Linked DNA regions of Rhinolophus ferrumequinum. The protein of the gene in region 1 purifies or fractionates together with the protein of each later gene. This does not show direct contact. Links are inferred from orthologs where the notes say so. Each region holds a gene or a part of one and is shown in the gene's direction. Other genes may lie near its edges.

Region 1 (9,510 bases):
CTAGGAATATGACTCTGAAGCTCATGAGAGAATATGGGACTGTGAATATAAAATTAACAGTCATGCATACATAAATTATGGTTAAACTCAAGAGCATGGATCAGGGTTTTTAAGACAACATATGAAAGAAGGAATAGGACATTGGGTTCTCTTGATGTACCAGGGTCAGTACAGGAGTCTGGAAAATCAATCGTAATTCTCATGTATTAATTGGAATTTAAACTAATAATTACTTTTATACATACCCCAGAGTGTGAGAATAAAATGAGATCATGTGTGTGACAGTGCTTTAGAATTTGTACAGGGCTAGACGAATGTGAGCTGTTCAATATTTTCAATATTCTCTTTGGCCTAAAGCATATAAGTTTTCATGATGGAGAGTCAGGAGACGTTCTGTGGACATATGGAGCTCCCAGAGGGCTTGTGTGTGGGGCTCAGGGAAATGTCCAGCTTAACCTGCTAAGCACCACAATTTTTCTGCTTCAACCCATCTGCCATGGAAAATGAGGAACCCACAGATAAGAGAGAGAAACAGAGGTGAAGGCACATTATAGAGCACTTTAAGAAATGTAATGAATGGTACAGTGTCGGGTGAAGCCAGAGGTTCAGAAAGATGGAAGCCCATTGGATATAACCAAGAGATCACTGATGCTATCTCCTGAGGCATTAGACTGTGCCTTGCCTAGCTTGGTGCCCGCTAGCTGGAAGAACTGCACTGCCCTTTATGACCAACATGAATTGTATGGTCCCAAATATCCTTGCTCCATTCCCCAGCCATATCTTGAATTAGTCACCTCAACCCATCTCAACCTGATTTTCACAGCCAGAGTTCCTGGCCCTTGGAATAAATTCCTACTTAAGACCTCATATCATCTCCTCAAAACCAGTGGTCAATAATATTGCTGTTCTGTTCTGAATTTTGGCTGACTCTCTCAAGTATATTTTGAGTGCAAGTTCTGACCCAATTTTTATTTATGCTCTTTATTGGGTATTGATCTCTGAAATCCCTCCTTGATTGTACGTGGCACTGTTTTCCTTTGAATATGTTGCTTCTGTTTACTCCATGGAATCATCTCACCAGCCTAGATCCCTCTCTTGGAATTCACCCCAAGCAAACTTTGTGGTCAGTGATCCACAGACTCATCCCATTAGCAAATAGAACTCTAAAGCTGCCAATGAAAGAGTCATACACAAACCCCAATATGCTGAAGCAGAGAGGTTAGCTATAAAAGGAGGGTATGATAGTTAATTTTATGTCAGCTTGACTGGGCCAGATGCCCAGATATTTGGTCAAACATTATTCTAGGTATTTCTATAACAGTGTCTTTGAATGAGGTTAATATTTAAATCAGTAGATTGATTAAAGCAGATTGCGCTCCCTAATGTGATGGGCCTCATCCAATCAGCGAAAGGTCTGAATAGAACAAAAGGATTGATTCTTTCCAGAGAAAGAGAGAATTACTCTTGCCTGACTGCCTTCAAACTGGGACACTGGCTTTTTCCTGCCTTCAGGTTAAAACTGAAACAGCCACTCTTCCTGGGGCTTGAGCCTGCTGGCCTTTGGACTGGAGCTACACTATCATTAGCTCTCCTGAGTCTCCAGCTTGCTGACTCACCCTGCAGATCTTGAGATTTGTCAGTCTCCATAATCACTTGAGCCAGTTCTTTGTAATAAATCTATTTGCATATATATATATACATATATATATATATATGTATATATATATATATATACACACACATAAATATATATACACATATGGACAGAGAGAGACAGAGACAGAGACAGAGAGAGGAAGGGGAGAGAGAATGTGTACACACACACAAAAACACACACACACACACACACACACACACTTTATTGGTTCTGTTTCTCTGGACAACCCTGACTAATACAGAGGAGATGAGTCTGAAGGGGCTGAAAGAGTCTGTAAAGCATAGTGATTATGAACTTGGGCCCTGGGGTTCAAATTCCAGCTGTATCATATATTAGCTGTGCCCTTGGTAAGGTTATTTAAGCTCTCTAATCTGAATCATTTCAGAGCAAATTTTCCATCACCTTTCTTCTCTGTGGGATTTAAGCCTTTATAGACCCTGAATAACACGAATCTGCTGGTTTCCTATTATCAAGGATGACTATGGATTTTTTTTTTTTAATCAAGCAGTGAGAAAACCCTAGGGGAGAAAATTTCATTATCATATTAAAAATACATTTAAGGCTATCTTGTCGTCCTTAGTAGACTTATATTTATCCAATGTTTATGTTTCTCAAATTAGATTCCAATACCTTTCCCAGAACAAGATGGGAGAACCTCTCAAACAGTATCATTTGTAACACAAGCACAGGTGAATGGAAAACGCTGCCGCCGCCACAAGATAATCCCGTAGAGCCTGTGGTATTTTCTGTGATGCTTTGAATCAGCCTCTCTCCTCTTACCTGTAATTTCTTAAAATGTCAGTGTGGGGCATCAGCAGCTGAAAATCCAGAATACCAAGTCAGTCCTCCCCTGTGACTGCCACATAGCTTTTGCCAGCAGGAAGAGACTACATCAGTGACGTAGTTACTTTTATTTTATTGTTTTCTTTAATTCTGGAAAATCCCTCACCTCCTCCATTCCTTCACAAAACTTTCTGCTGAATGACTTTCAGTCTGAGGGCCATAAACATGTTTTATTTCTCCTCACTATAAGCTTATTCCCCCAAAACTTCCTCATGCTAAAAAAGTATCACATTAAAAAAAAAAAATCCTGACTAGAAAAGATTTTGTAGTAACCTTGCATTCGTCACCACTTCTCCCAGCCCAATTCCAGCCCAATTCCAGTGTGCTTCATAATGAAAGTAAGAAGCATCACTAGTTTTATTGGCAATTAAGTGTCTAAGAACCATGCAGATTTTCTTCTTTATTGTTTAAGAATCTTAAATGTTTAATGAATATTTAAGCAGACAAATTTCAGCAACATACCTTGTTTTAGGAAACCAGCTTTAATAAATTTCAAACACTATTTGTTAATTATTATTGAAAACAATATTTCAGAATACCCCTTGGACCATGGAATCTTTAAGAAAAAAATGACTTTCACTTATTTCAATTAAAGACTTTCTTTATTAAATTTTTATAGCTCTGCTTGCTCCAAACACCCCCTTTACAACTCTGCTTTCTCCTTTCCTTTCTTGGGTCTCTCTCTCTCTCTCTCTCTGTCTCCCCCTCCCTCCTTCCCTTTTTCACTTCCTCCCTCTTTCCTTCTCTCCATCTCCTATAGTGTGCAATTAAAAACCGAAGCTTGGTGTTCAGGCCAGCACGTGTGTGTGAGTTTGTGTGTGTGTGTGTGTGTGTGTGTGTGTGTGTGTGTGTGTGGCGGGGAGTGTGGAGTGGTGCGACGGAAGCGTGCGTTATTTTCCCGGACCAGAGACAAGGATTTTCCATCACCTAAAAGAGGCCATCAAGTTTCAATATTTCGAGGCACGACTTCTCATCACATCCTTTCCGGAAAAGTACAAACAGTTCTTCAGCGGAGGTCCCCCACCTCCTACGCGCTTCCCAGTTCGCCCTCCCCTCGGAGCCCCGCTCCAGCCTCCCAAACACCTGTGATTCATCCGAGAGGCTGCCACCGCAGAACCATTTGCATACCTCCCCTCCCCGGGCGCACAATACACAGTAAAGAAGGACAGTTAGGATTATTGCTTTACGATTATTATTTTTAATCTGTCATATGACCTGCACAAGTACCCTTTCTCGCCCACACCCTGTTTTGGGCTGGCAACCAAGCCAGCCTCGACTGGTACCCAGGGTTTGCGCACTGAATGGACCACCAGAATTTGTAGCGTCCGGGAGATCCTCGGACCCGCAGCCCTTCGCATTCCCCCAGAAAGTCTGGACGGTTCTATAAGGCGTGTGCGCGCCTCTGTGGACTATTTGTAAGAAATCCATCATAAAACCCCAGGCTTCGAGGACAAATTCAACCGAAAACAGCGTCATCTATTTTGCCCTCCGCAAACAACTCTCATTTCTAAGCCTTGAACTCCAGCAAACCCACGCTGTTTGGGTTAACTACCCTTCCGTTCTCTCCCCCCTAACTCATTTCATATCTCTCAGCGATAATTGCTCTGACGTACTTTAAAATAACGTGTGCGAGTCTCTCTCTCCAGCTGACCACATTAATGCGAATTGCAAGCCCTCGATGCTGCTTTAATAAAATGAAGCAATCACTCATAAAAATAGCAACCCACGTAGTCTGTCCATATATGGAGCTGGTGAGGGTGGATAGGGATGCCCCTTCCGACCCTCTCTCTTCTTCAGAAAAAAATAAATTACAGCTGAAATCTCCACCCCGCCCCCCCCCCCCCCCCCCCCCGCCTTCTACTCCTCTGCCTTCCCCTCTCTTTCAATGACTCAACTAAACACTCAACTCAGCAGGGGAAATTTTATATATGTATATACAATCCATATATATCATATACTTACAGTACATATATATCATGCACACACACATACATATATATACATACGTACACATATGCAAATAAAGAATATCAGAAAACCAGCCGTGAGACAAATGTGTTTGCCCGAGACCGGATGTTAAAATGGAGTTAGAAGACTCGTCCCTTTCGGGTGTTCATAAAAGGCTAAAATACAAAGGTTTGCAGCAAAGCGCACCTCTCCTCCCACTCCCAGACGCCGGCCTCCTTCAGCCCTCCCCCACGGCACACTTCTCCCCGCCCCTCCAGGACACAGCTATTAAAAGCTGCTGACGTCAAAAGGGACGGCCATCTTTGATGAGGGCACAGCTCACGTTGCATTGAAGACGAAACCTCGGGGAGGTCAGGCGCTGTCTTTCCTTCCCTCCCTGCTCGGCGGCTCCTCCACACTCGCAACCTGCAGGGGCCGGGCGAACACCACCCTCTGGAGAAGCTAAGGTAAGGGCCCCACTCCCCAGGTCGTGGTTCTGGATCTGGATGACTGTATACCCGGAGGGGAGCACAGCTGGGCAGACCAAGTGAGCTTGGGCAAATACAAGAATTTGTGCACCTAGGGTGCGGTATTCAGTACGTGCGCGTCTGGCTAGACTCCCGCCTGGGGCTTTAGAAAGTATATTCGAGGTGAGCTGCTTGGGGAAGGGATGAATGGGGACCCTGCAGATGGAGCGATTGGGAGGAAGCGCAAGGAAGGATACGTACTGAATAATAACTTACTCTTTGGAAACTGTAGTGGGATCCTCTCTTCCATTTTGCGATGCAGTTTTCAGAGATGTTTAGGCTGCTTTTTTTTTTTCTGTAGACCGAAATAAGCCAACTCTGTCGTTCTGCTCCTATTATTATGACTGTTGACGTTAGGGCGCTATTACCCAGGGAAGAATTGGGGAGAAGGCAGGGTGTCGGCACTGGGGAGGCGAAAGGAGAAGGGGTTGTTCCCGCCTCGGGCAAGCTGGGCCGCAGAAGCGACAGCAGCCTCCATGCCCCACAGACTTGATTTATGCCGCCTGCTCCACGTCAACTGCAGGCTGGCGGGAGGCGGGCGGATCGTGCTGGGTGGGAGGGCTCTGCGGAGAGCTGGCGGAGGTGGTCTCGCCTTAGGGACTGCGGCGAACCGCACTCAGCACCCTGGACAGCAATACCGAGGGGCCGCACTGACACCCTCAATCTTTCAGCACGGCGGACAGCGGTCCGGCCGCGGCGTTGCATCTGTGGCAGAGATTCCTGACCAGGGCTAGATGTTCCGGGGCTGGAGGCCAAATTGCATCTCTGAGACCCTGGTCTCACAGAGACCCCTAACAGAGCAGACATAGAAGGAAGGAAGGAAAGAAGGGAGGAAGGAAGGAAGGAAAAGAAAAAAGGAAGGAAGGGAGGAAGGGGAGAAAAGAAAAGAAAAATAAATCCTACCCATAGGGACTCCTTTGCTGGCAATTGCCTGCTCCCATCCTGTCAGCTCCAGCAAAGCTTTAAAAAAAGTAGTAGTCTACTTGTAGAAATTTTCTGTGTTGCCCCTTCCCTTATTTTGCTAAGAAATAAACATATTTTGAAAAGATATGCATTTATTCTTGAGTCGGATATCAAGGGTTTTGTTTATTTTTGTTTTTAGCACATTGTAGATCTATCTACAGATCTTAGGTGGGCATGAGTGAGGTATATATGAAGATGCCATATGATTTGTTTATAAGAATTATATTTCTCCATATATATTTCTGTTTGATAAAAATAATGGGGTAGTTGAACTAAGCAGAATCAACTTTAAGAATGAACCCCTCTTCTTCTTCCTTCTCTTCCATCCTTGTAATTACGCATGAACCCAAGCACATCCCCACAAAAAAGACATTTCTACAAATTACAGGTCTTATGGGATGTAAATTTACTCTTTTTGGCTGTGGTTTCAGAGTGAGTGAAAGTAATTTCCACAGACATTGGTTATCTCAGTGATAGTTTCTGATTTGACAACTAAGACTGGTTTTCCTCAGGTGAACCCAACTATGTCCTTCAGGGTAATGCTGGTGAAAGGACCGTGGTGTTAGACTGAAACTGGACTCTGACATAAAGATCTACTGCAATTTCTATTACGGCACTGCGGGATTTTGCTGAGGTGGTGATAAGTAATTTAACCATTTTTTACTCTGAGACTTGGAGCCTCTCAGTGAACAAATTATCACAGGATATTTCCAGCCATTTGATATAGATAAAATTTGCATTAAAATACCAGAAGCAAAATTGTACTATTTGAGTAGTGTTAAATAAGAGTAACAGTGCCATATGTAAGAATATATACAACGTGTTGAAGAAATACTATCATGGTCCCCTGAAAAGCCTCAAAATAAGATCTTGGATTGTGTTTAGTTAGTCATAGCTCCAATCATTTACATACTAGAGGTGCTAAAATGCCCTGTCCACATAGACAGGGTACTTTCATTCCCAGCCATTGATTTTCGAAGGTTTTCAGTTTTATGGATAACCATGTGTTTCCACATAAATATATATCGATTTGTTGTTGTATGTGATGTAAAATTATTATTCAAGAGTATGGAACTGCATGGAAGAATTTTATAACTGTAATCTGCAGATGAAATAAACAACTGTGTTTTAGTGATGGGGAGAGGGGAGAAAAGATGGGTAGGAGTCTTCAAAAAGGCTTTGACTTTATGCTACATGTCCAGACAACTCTCTGCGTAGTTGCGTCAAATGAAAAAGCCTAGCACTGCTGGCATTACGTGCTTGGACATTAGTAATTACTGCTGGGTTTGTTTGCTGGTGGAAGACTGGAGTGGGGGGTGTGGAGGTAGAAGACTGCAGTGAAGCTGGCAAAGGGCACAGATCTGGGAGGAAGTGGCGATGTGCAAAATTATGGAGCTAATTCTGGAATAGCTTACTGAGAAATTAAAGGAAAAGATATTGAAGCATGAATTTAACATTTACTTTATTGATAAGCTTCAGGAAAAATGAAGAGACGTCCTATTTTAAATTTTAAAAATTCAGGGCAATACAGTGAGAAGGGGCAGGAGCAGATGGCCATAGGGATGCATCAGGAAACATTCCCACAGACCCTCTAATAGTACCTGCTTATTTGCTCACTGGCATTTTCTGAATTACCACCTTGACACTCAGAATACAAAACACTTTATAATTTTCTTAACCTCTCCATGTAAAATCTCCCAAGAATTCACAATTTTATTTTTACTTTGTTATAAACATGCACACCCACACATGCACAAACACAGTACAAGCTGCCCCTAATTAGCTTGTCTAAAGACATTCTTAAGCTCTAAGTGTTCACCCAAGTGATGGTTATCAACCAGCTGATGTTTCTGCCAGTAGCACCTCTTCCTGTAGCAGCTGGTCTTCAAGCAGAACATGTAGACTTTGATGATTAGTGGAAATGAGAGATAATTTGAGAAAAAGGTTGAGAGAGAAGGCATAAAGGATAAAATAGATAAATCTGCTTTTTAGACGGTGCATTAGGAATAAACTGTTTTTCTCACATTATGGAACTGCTTTACAATACTATAAAGATAAGAAAATTGGTGTTTTCAGCCTCAGTGCTAGATATGTTTCTGCAGTGTCATACCTTGTCAGCAGGGACCGACCTGATAGGAGGATATTGATCAATCAATCAGTGAGCACCAGATACATAAATGAACCCCGTGGAGGATATAAAGCCTCATGCTTAGATGGTCTTTGACCTCAATAAGTTTAGCTCTTGTAATCTTAAGGAAAACAATAAATAACAGAAATTAATAAATAATACCAGAATGAAAATGCAATAAAACAGTAGAAGAAAAATCACGAGAGAGTATATCATTATTTGCCAGTGAACATGACCAAAAGTAAGAAATGTAAATTCTGAGGGCCGCAATAATGCAGTATGATCTGAGAGTTAGGACTTGAGCTGGCTTTTTGGAGATTACAATGAGGTGAGGGAGGTATTCTACAACTAAGTACAAGTTACGGCATAGGCAGAACTACAAGTTAGGTAAGCCCAAGTTATGGTCAGCGAACCCAAAAAACGTTCATCCATTTGGAAGGAGTGTGAAGCTTGTACAGGGGAATATGTTGGAATGAAGAGTTGGAGCCTTCTGTGGAAGGCTTTGAATGCCAAGCTGAGGATTTGGTACTTTGTCCTCTACAGTTGATTTCTGAGCAGAAGCTGACATAACAAAGTAATCAGCTCCTTTTTAATATCTAGGAATTGCTATTGACAGAGTGGATTGAATTTGCATTCTTCCAGAAATAGAGGGCTGCAATTGATATCATAAGGGATGATTAATTTTTAAAAAGAATCAGTCCTCATTCAGGCATCTTTTATGATCACTCTTCAGGATACAGATAGATTTGTAAGTCTTGCCCAGAAGTTAATTGTAAGTTTCAATTTTCCATTACTGATTAAAACAAATTGTTCAAGACGAGCACTTACCAGAGAGATTGAAAAGTGGGTGAGGAATCTGGTGATGCGAGGTGCCCAGAGCATACACTTGAATAATAAACATGTGTACCCGTCTCTTGCACCCTCTGAGTAGTCTGCATTGTCAAATACACTGGCTGGAAAGATTTTTTTTAAAAAAATACCAGTTTTTCTGTGCATGTTTCATGCAATATGACACATAGAATAAGCCCCAAGTCGCTAAAAGTGAAAAAAAAACAAAAAAGATGCTGTGGTGAAAAATTTGGAAAACTAAGGTGAGGTGGGCATTATATCCTATTTTTCCCCCGACTATCATTGGTGACTTTGGCTGGTTACTCTCATTTAAGGGCTAGTTTAAACTATACCCTCTTCTTTTTTAATCTTGTACTCTCTCAGCAGAGCTTTAAAATTCCAAATGCTGACAGAACTGCTGAACCAAAATAGTTAATGGCTTTGTGTGGAGGAAGAAATAGCAACTGCAGAGATAAATCTTGTTGCTATTTCCATTCTGGCTCTGAAGTGTCAAGGGACTATCCTCATGTGTTCTTCCCCAGAATACTGGCAGAAGAGACATCCTTAAGAAAACGCTTTGATTTTCAAGCTGACTCCCTGGGAGAAATTTGGAGGTA
Region 2 (9,453 bases), on another chromosome or scaffold:
TGTTGTGATAAATAATGTATATACCTAATAGTCTTCAAAACAGTGCTATTTTGTAAGCTATTATTGTACATGACTTCTATAGAATCCACATTTCCTGTTTCCTGAGGAGGGAAGTAATAGAGTGACAAATTAGAATGAACACATAGGAGGTCTGACAATTAAGTGCGAGAACTTGTTGCATTGATGTTGCTAAACTTTTTTGATATCGGAGGGATTATTCATTATGAATTTGTACCAACTGGACAGTTAACCGACTTTACTATTTGGAAGTGCTGAAAAGGCTGTGTGAAAAAGTTAGATGACCTGAACTTTTCGCCAACAATTCATGGCTCTTGCATCACGACAATGCACCAGCTCACACGGCACTGTCTGTGAGGGAGTTTTGAGCCAGTAAACAAACAACTGTATCGGAACACCCTTCCCACTCACCTGATCTGGCCCCAATGACTTCTTTCTTTGCCTGAAGATAAAGGAAATATTGAAAGGAAGACATTTTGATGACATTCAGGACATCAAGGGTAATATGATGACAGCTCTCCATTCCAAAAAGAGTTCCAAAATTGCTTTGAAGAGTGGACTAGCTGCTGGCGTTGGTGCATAGCTTCCCAAGGGGAGTACTTCGAAGGTGACCATAGTGATATTCAGCAATGAGGTATGCAGCACTTTTTCTAGGAGGAGTTCGTGAACTTAATTGTCTGCCTCCTATGTTCACTTGTTTTTTGCTTTCAGTGTCATTCTATCCCGTCAACAGAACACTCATGCAACCCACAACTTTGTATCTTTTTTTTTCAACTCCGTATTACCTACCTCCTGCATGCCACTTCATCGCATTGATCTTTAGAGTGACATCTTTTTAAAGGTTTAGTAAGATATATTTGAATACAGTAAAATTTACTATTCTTAGTTATAGATCAAAGAGTTTTGATGGATGTATGCATTTGTGTAATGACGACAATCAAGATAAAGAACATTTCCATTAATCCAAAAACTTCCCTTGTGCTCCTTGGCAGTCAATCCCCTCCCCCAACTCCAGCCCTTGGTAAGCATCAATCTGACTTCTATCCCTATAGTTTTGCCTTTTGAGAATGTCCTATAAATGGAGTCATTCAGTATGTAGCTGTTTGTGTCTGGCATCTTTCATTTAGCATATGCTTTTGAGATTCATCCATGCTGTTGCATGTCCCAGTAATTTAGTCTGTATTTCAGTAGTTTGTTCTTTTTTATAACTGAATAATTTTCCATTGTATGGATGTATCACAGTTTATCTATTCAGCAGCTGCTAGACATATTTAAATTATTTCCAGTTTGGGGTTACTATGAATAAAGCTACCCTACACAGTTGCATGTAGGTCTTTATATGAACGTGTGTTTTCATTTCTTTTGGGTAAATACCTAGGAGTGGGATGGTTGGATTGCTGGATTGTATGGTAAATTTATGTTTAATTCTCTAAGAAACTGCCAAAATGTTTTCCAAAGTGGTTGTACAATTTTTCATTCCCACTAGCAATGTATAATAAGTGCTAATTTTTTTAGACCTGGATTTTATTTTATTTTATTTATTTATTTATTTATTTATTTTTTAATTGGGGAAGGGGAACAGGACTTTATTGGGGAACAGTATGTATTTCCAGGACTTTTATTGGGGAACAGTGTGGTTTTTTCAAGGCCCATCAGCTCCAAGTCAAGTTGTCCTTTCAATCTTAGTTGTGGAGGGCGTAGCTGAGCTCCAAATCCAGTTGCCGTTTTCTTTTTTTTTTTTTCCAATCTAGCTGGGTGGGGGGAGGGGGGCGGCGCTCAGCCCACCATCCCTTGCAAGAGTCGAACTGGCAACCTTGCTGTTGAGAGCATGTGCTCTTAACCAGCTGAGCCATCCAGCCACCCGGAAGCTCAGCGGCAGCTCGTTCTCTTCACTCGAGTTGTTGTGGAGGGCACAACTCACTGGCACATGTGGGAATCGAACCAGCAAGTCTGTTGCTCAGAGCTCGCACTCTAACCAACTGAGCCATCTGGCCGCCCCCTAATTTATTTTTAATTGTAGTTGACATGAGCTCTAATTTTAATGCAGTCTTCTTTGCAACCTAAGTGAATTTCTCCATTGACCCTTCCCTACCTTTCCGCAGAAAGCTTGCCATGTTGGTTATAATGGTACTTTGTACTTAAAAGGTAAAACTTATTTACTGAAGTATAGCATACATACAGAAGTGGGCATTCATCACACATATCTGACTTGATGAATTTTCACAAAGTAAACACACCTAGACGATCACCACCCAGATCAAGTAAGGCTGCTACGAGCTTCCTACAAGTCTACCTCATGGGCCCATTCCTAGTCATCCCCTTTCCACCCCGGAACTAACTACATGCTGTTCTGACTTTTAATAATCTAGATTAATTTGGCTGGGTTTGAACCTAATAAAAAAAGGGATCATACAGGATATACTCATTTTTGTCTGGCTTCCTTTGCTGTACGTTATATTTGGATGAGATCACCCACATCATTCACATAGCAGCAGGCCATTTAATTTTATGCTCTATAGTACTACAATTTATCCATTCTGCTGATGGACAGTTGTTTCCAGTTGGAACTAGTAAAAAAAGAAATCCTGCTCTGGCCTTCTTCGTGCCTCAGACTGGAAACAATTTGAATGTCCATCCATAAGAAAGTGAATAATCAAATTGATAAAATACTATTTAGCAATAAAAAGGATCAAACCACTGATATATGCAGCATCATGGATAAATCTCAAAAAACATCCTTAATTCAAACAAGCCAAACACTAAAGGATACATAAAATATGATTTCATCACTCTGAAGTCCAAGAATAGTCAAAACTAATCTGTAGTGATGAAAATCAGAAAGTGATTTCTGTGGATAAGTGGAATTAATTAGAAAGAGCATAGTTCGAGGAAACTTGCTGGGGTGATGATGAAAATGTTCTATATCCTGGTTTGGGTGGTAGTAACCTGGGTATGTACAAGTGTCAAACAAAATTCATTGACTTGAGGGGTGGCCGGATGGTTCAGTTGGTTAGAGCACCGGCTCTTAACAACAGGGTTGCGGGTTCAATTCCCACATGGGCCAGGGAGCTGCGCTCTCCACAACTAGATTGAAGACAACGACTTGGAACTGATGGGCTCTGGAAAAACACACTGTTCCCCAATATTCCCCAATAAAAAGTAAAAAAAAAATTCATTGACTTGAACACTTCCTATCTATACATTCTATTGTATGTCAATTATGACTCAATAAAAATTAATACAGAAAAATGCCATTTAGTCCTAAAAAATGCTATTATGAACATTCCTATATTTGGTTTTCGGAACACATATGTGTGCATATCTGTTGATTATATAGTTAGGACTAGAATTGTTGAGTCATAGAATACGTGTGAATCACAGCTCTGTAGCTTCATATCTGTATCACATTGAGCAAGTATCCAGAACCTCTACAGAACACAAGTTTCCTTATCTGTTACCAAGGAATTAATCTCACCTTTATGGTGCAAACCATGAAAACTGTTTTTGTCAATTAACAAAAGGACATAATGCTGAGAAACTTTATTCTCTAAAACCACAGATTTTCAGAAAATGTGCTAATTGAAATATCAATAAGAATTGAATATTCCACTCGACTGGAGAATCTGAGTTACTCTGACACAGAGAAACAGCCTCAGTTTTCCAACCCAGATGCAAACCTTCAGATAAGGGCTTTCCAGGTACAACATTCCACGTTAATCTTCATGTTGTAGTTTCCAAGGAAACAGGATTTTGAGTCCTCTTATCAGCTCAGGCCTGATGAGAATCCCTTTACACATAGCCTGGTGTGCTTTGAGGCTATATCAAAACACCACATCTTTTCTCCAAATCCTAGAATAACTATCTCTTTCTGTGCTTGGCGGGATGCCCCATGATTCCTCTGGTGTGCAGTCTGCCTTGCAGCATTAAGTTAATAAACCTAACTTTGTCAGACCACAGGTGGTCTTTATCACATGGGCTTTATCTTGGGGATTACTGATAAATGTTTGTACAATTTGTTCACATTGCCTGGATAGGCATTTAAGAAATGGTAGTTATTTTTAATTATTCATCTATAAATCCGGTAAATGTTCATTTGACATCTAGTATTTGCAAGGTACAAATGTATTGCTATGAGAGATAGCATAAGGCACAGCCATCTTTTAAAATTAAAGTGGTTTAAAATTAAAACCACTTTTAATTTTAGGTGGAGAAAGAAAACAACAATAACCAATGTCTTCAGTTGCTAGGAGAAAAATACCTTTACTGAACTTCACTTTGCATAGAGTGAAATGTAAATGAAAACATTCTCAAGACTATTTTAGAGGTGAAAAAAAAGTACAATTTACATAATTTGCTGTAAGATTTGACATAAAACTATGGATTCTGAGAAATGGTAGGGTTTTAACCAGAATGAGAGCCCCCAAATGTCATCTGCCTCTTTTTATAGAGGAAAGAAAAATGCTCTTATAAATGCTCCAACGAAAAATAGAGATCGACTGGCTTATAAAAGCTCTAAAGCTGAAAGCAGGCTCATTCAACCATTTGGGGTCCCCTCCCACACAGGCAAGCAGCTTCCTCTCTTTACCATTCCCCAGAGATTACAAAGCAGGCTGGGCTGGGGTGGAGAACACAAGAAACAAACCTTGCCAGTTCCCCTTCACTTCTCCCTGTCTTGATCTCCCAAACTCATGTCTTTCCATTTACCATAAGCTCACAAAATGCAGTCTTCTGTGGGAACACTGAGGTCATATGCTCCAAATTACTTAAGGAAATTATTTTAAAAATTCGAGGGTCTAGTTCTCCAAGAAATCCTGGTTTGGGATATAAATGAAAACGTTATTTGGGAGGGATTTAGATGGAGAATGAATTTTGGAATATGAGAATGGGTTTTAGGAAAGTAGGGAGATGATGATGCAGTTAGCTTAGTGTTTGGGTTTTGCAGTCAGAAAAGCAAACTAACCTCTGTGGGCTTAATTTTTTCAATTGTAAAAGGAAAAATAATAACGCTTCCTTTGGTCAGTTACTTTATTTCAACATTTAAAAAATCGATTGTTCATTATCTATTCTGAAGGCAAAAATATAGTTAGGACATGGTCCCCTTGCTGTGAAAGAGCTTATGAACAATTGAATTGCAGTGAGGATTCACACATAGTACGTGATAAATCTTCTTATTATTTTATTGTTTGATTAGAAGAGGGGTGGAGGGAGAAATGAAAGTGGTTTGTAAATCGTAAAAGTGCTCCGCTACTAACAAAGCGGTAGGTAAACGAAGTACAGTGAGGAATTTCAGAAATTTGGTTACGGATCTGAGTTTCAACGTTATCATATACTCCCATATTTGGGCCTGAATTCTCAGAATAGAACAGAATAGGATGTTAAGGCTGAGATCATCTGGTACAATTTTATGCTAATCGAAAATTCTTGCCTCCTGTCACCGAGTCCTGGCGAGAAACAACACAGCCACCCCAGCTCCACCAATCCCAGCTTCAACGGTGTGACGTCATCGCCCCGCCCCGCATTCCCAAGGCCCAGGGCGTCCAGTCTCTAAGCTACCGTCTCTGGTCCCAGCGGCAGCGGCGCATGCGCACTGTGGGGCAGGGCGGGGAGGACGCGTGCGCGCTGCGTGGGGGCGGTGCTAGTGCGCACGCAGCCTCGGCCCCGTCCCTGCCCTTTTTCTTCCCGGTTTCTCCGTCACTCTGCGGTCCGGTTTGGTAGCTGCTTCCGGTAGGACCCCGGTGCAGGGCGAGTCGGTCTCAGCTGTTCGTCATGTCCTACGGTCCCTTAGACATGTACCGGAACCCGGGGCCCTCGGGCCCCCAGCGCCGGGACTTCAGCAGCATCATCCAGACTTGCAGCGGCAACATCCAGCGGATCAGCCAAGCCAGTGAGCCTGGGGACGGAGCTGGGGGGCGGGGGCCGTCCTGGGGACAGGCCTGGATGAGGCTGCCGGGACGCGGAGCCCGGCTGGGGCTGCGGCCAAGGCCACACCTGAGGCCTTCTCAGCCTTTCCAGTCTGGAGGCGGCGAGCTGCCATCCCGGAGTCTGTCAGGGCCGGGCTCCCCCGAGGGTTCCGAGCCCCGGCTGGAAGCTCGAGTCTCGTCTTAGGAGTTATGCCCTCACGGTGTTGGGGCATAAGAGCAGTGCTGACAGCCCCAGGTGGGTGGGGGTATGTGTGTCACCCCGAGAGCAGTCAGTAAGTTGACTTGGCGCAGTGGTCAGCCGAGTATTTCCTGTCATCTGCCTCCTCCCACCCCCGGCCCCACCTCTCTTTCCTCTTTGGCCAGTTTGCATCGGGAGTTGTTTACTGTTTGAGACTTTAGGTTTACATTCTGCTCAGTTTCTGGCTCCTTGGAAATCAGCAGCTTTCAATTAAGGGAAGTGGAGCATGGATGTGTTTGGATGACTTAATACACAGTTCTTCCTTTAATGAATTTGGAAATCAGATACAGTGATTTGTATTTGAGGAGTAAGATGACTTCTGTTTTAATAAAGAGAATTCACCGAAAACATTTCAATTTACATTATTTTGTCTCTTGTAACAAAATATCTGCATATATTTTTGGTTTTCAAGCTGATGGAGCTTTTGTTTTCCTTTCCTATTTAGCTGCTCTTGAACACATGTGATACAGAGAAGCTCAGGGACTTGGCCACAATCACATAGCAAGTAAGACGTAGTAGAGCTGGTGGTGGATTTCAGGATGTCATTGCTTGTCTTAAAATTCTGTCCCCACCAGTAGGGTCTGAGTGAGACTGGCTGAGTGAGTCAAATACAGGCTGTTTCTTTTGCCTGGAAATCAGCTCAGAGCCTTATCAGCAGGAGGTCAGCAGCAGCTTTACTTGGAAAAAACGGTCACCATCGTTCATGTTGTTTATTGTTGTGTTTTTGTGTACTTGGCTGTACTTTGTGACTAGGTAGACCTAGTTGGTCTTGAATTACAATTACGTTCTATATTTTAAAAAACAATCTTATCACTTTGCTTTTAAATTTAAATACTCTTATATGATGTAGAATTTGAGCAGCCGGAAGTTTCTGATGGGAGGGGATTGAGACTGGGTGATTTGAAAGTGGAAAGAAGAATATGTGGCCTGTTAAATCCAGAAATTAAAAAAAATAATATGACTACTGGTTAGAAAATACAATACTTTGTGTTCCAGTTATTTTCGTGTGTGTGAGGGAGCTATAATATATGTTAGATCAGAAAATTGAAGTTCAAGGCTAGAAGTTCTTTTGAGGCTAAATCTTATTTTAATGTCTATTTGTGAAATCATTCTACATATATTTGAGTATCAGGCTATGTAGTAAGTAGTATTGAAACTGCATGGATTGTTTCAAAAGGGTTTCTGTGGAGTACATAATAACTGAAATATAAAGTTAAAAGGGAGCAATGCTATAGAAGAGATATAAACAACATGTAGGTATTCGGGGGAGATAGAGATCATTTTCAGTTGGGAAGGGTCAAGGAAGGCATTATGGCATTTGAGCTAGGGCTGGAAAGATGCTGGGAAGGATTTGAATTTTTGAGGGTAAAGAACAGAAGAGCATTCCAGGAAGGAATAAAACGAACAAGGCCTGGTAGTGGGAAAGCATCGGGTATTATACAAAAGTAGAGTGATTTAATTTGGCTACAGTGGTGGACTTCAGAAAGTAATGGAAGAAGATAGGGTTAGAAAGGTAAGTTGGGGCCCAAACAGGATGGACTTTAAGTGCTAAACTAAAGGGGTTTGGATTTAATTCTTTAGGAATGTGTAAATTGAATTGGGAGAGAGACACTATAATCAGAGACACCAGTGAGGGACTGTGAAAATAAAAAGGAAGGAAAGGATTGGAGAGGTTTCTTTGTTGATAGAATTGATAAAATGTAACTGTTAAGTGGGCATTGGGCTCAAGGGATCATTGGAGTCAAGTGAGTTGACTTGGTGCAGTGGTCAGAGGAGTATTTCCTGTCATCTGTCTCCCCCGCCCCTTTGGCCAGTTTGCATCGGGTGTTGTTACATAATGTTAAGAACATTAATGTGGGTCCATACTGTGTGCCAGGCAGCATGAAAAATTATTTGCATGCATTACCTGACTTAATTTTCTAACAACCTTGCAAAGTAATTACCAATATTATTTCCATTGTGTAGGTTAGGAAACAGACTGAGAAAGGTTAAGTACTTACCCTGCTAACAAATGGCAATACCTGAATTTGAAACCACATCTCTTATGATCAGCAATTAACCTTTTTATAATTTTTAATGAGTATTACACATTTGTAGCAGTTACAAGTGTGTTGTTTTTTTTACTCTCCGTAGGAAACTATGAGGAATACCTGAGGCCGTCAAACTTTGTCCTCTTGTGGTGTGTCTGCCTCCCCTGTTTGATTGTTAGTTCTTCTGAAGCATGGGACATGACTTAACTCATCTTTATATTTCTAGTACTTATGTCAGTCCAAACATATGATAGATTTATTCATTCACTGTTCAGCAAATATTCTTTGAGCACCTGCTATGCACTGGTGGAGAAACAAGACAAAGAACAAGACAGACAAAATCCCTTCCCTGATCGTGTGTGTCTGTGTGTGTGTGTGTATATATATGCACACATGCAAATACTATGTAGTAAATCAGTACTATGAAGAAATAAAATAGGGCAAAGAGATAGAGAGACGAGAGAGAGGGTGGGTGTGCTCTTTTAGATAAGTTGGCCAAGGAAGGCCTCGCTGAGGAGGTGACATTTGAGGAGACACTGAATGACGGGAGGGAGAGAGCCAGGTGAGTAGCCGGGGGACGGCGTTCTAGGCAGAGGGACTAGCAGGAGCAAAGACCTTGGTGTGTTCTAAGAATGGCAAGAAGGCTAGTGTGGCTGGAGTGCAGTTAGAGAAACGGAGCACAGGAAGAAAATAGGTCTGGGAGGTAGTCAGGGATCATATCATAGAGGGGCGTGATGCTTAATAAATTGTATTGAGTAGATTTGAAGGAATGAGGTTTTTCTACCACCTTGGAACACTTCCTGCCTCATTCTCCTTGAACGGTGTGGTACCTACCACATCTTACTGACCCTAGGCAGTGTTGGAATTCTTCCTTTGGGATTGTTTGGTGAGGAACTGGGGATTTGAAATTGGTAGGGTGACACTGCTTCTACCCAGTCAGCACGATGAGGCGAGTGCCTGTTGCCCAGACCTCTCCAAGACGTGGCCGGCATAAAGTACACAGTCGGAATGTGAGCGCAGACATATATCCACATCCTTCCAGCCCGGCCAGGACCTGTACCCACTGAGAATTTAGAGAATAGCTATTCTTTTTCCCTAACTGTTCAGCCACGTACGTGGGTTTGGAATTGCTGAGCATATCTGGCTGAAATACAGCAGGTCATTGTGTGGGTTGACAGGTACAGCTAAGGTTGACTGCCCGGTTATAAAGGTTTGTTATCAGTAGGTGTGAGGTACAGAGGAAAAG

What was found.
Region 2: the proteins of SNAP25 (region 1) and STX12 purify together in Homo sapiens (co-immunoprecipitation; 3 studies listed by BioGRID and IntAct, with this or other methods). This does not show direct contact. The link is inferred for Rhinolophus ferrumequinum from reciprocal best matches to the Homo sapiens genes SNAP25 and STX12.

What each region holds. Positions count from the first base shown.
Region 1 is NC_046306.1:30,945,248-30,954,757, forward strand, and holds the start of SNAP25 (synaptosomal-associated protein 25), read left to right. Parts: upstream 1-4,763; 5' UTR 4,764-4,914; intron 4,915-9,510.
Region 2 is NC_046292.1:19,031,526-19,040,978, forward strand, and holds the start of STX12 (syntaxin-12), read left to right. Parts: upstream 1-5,714; 5' UTR 5,715-5,784; coding exon 5,785-5,902; intron 5,903-9,453. UniProt on the Homo sapiens protein: SNARE promoting fusion of transport vesicles with target membranes. Together with SNARE STX6, promotes movement of vesicles from endosomes to the cell membrane, and may therefore function in the endocytic recycling pathway.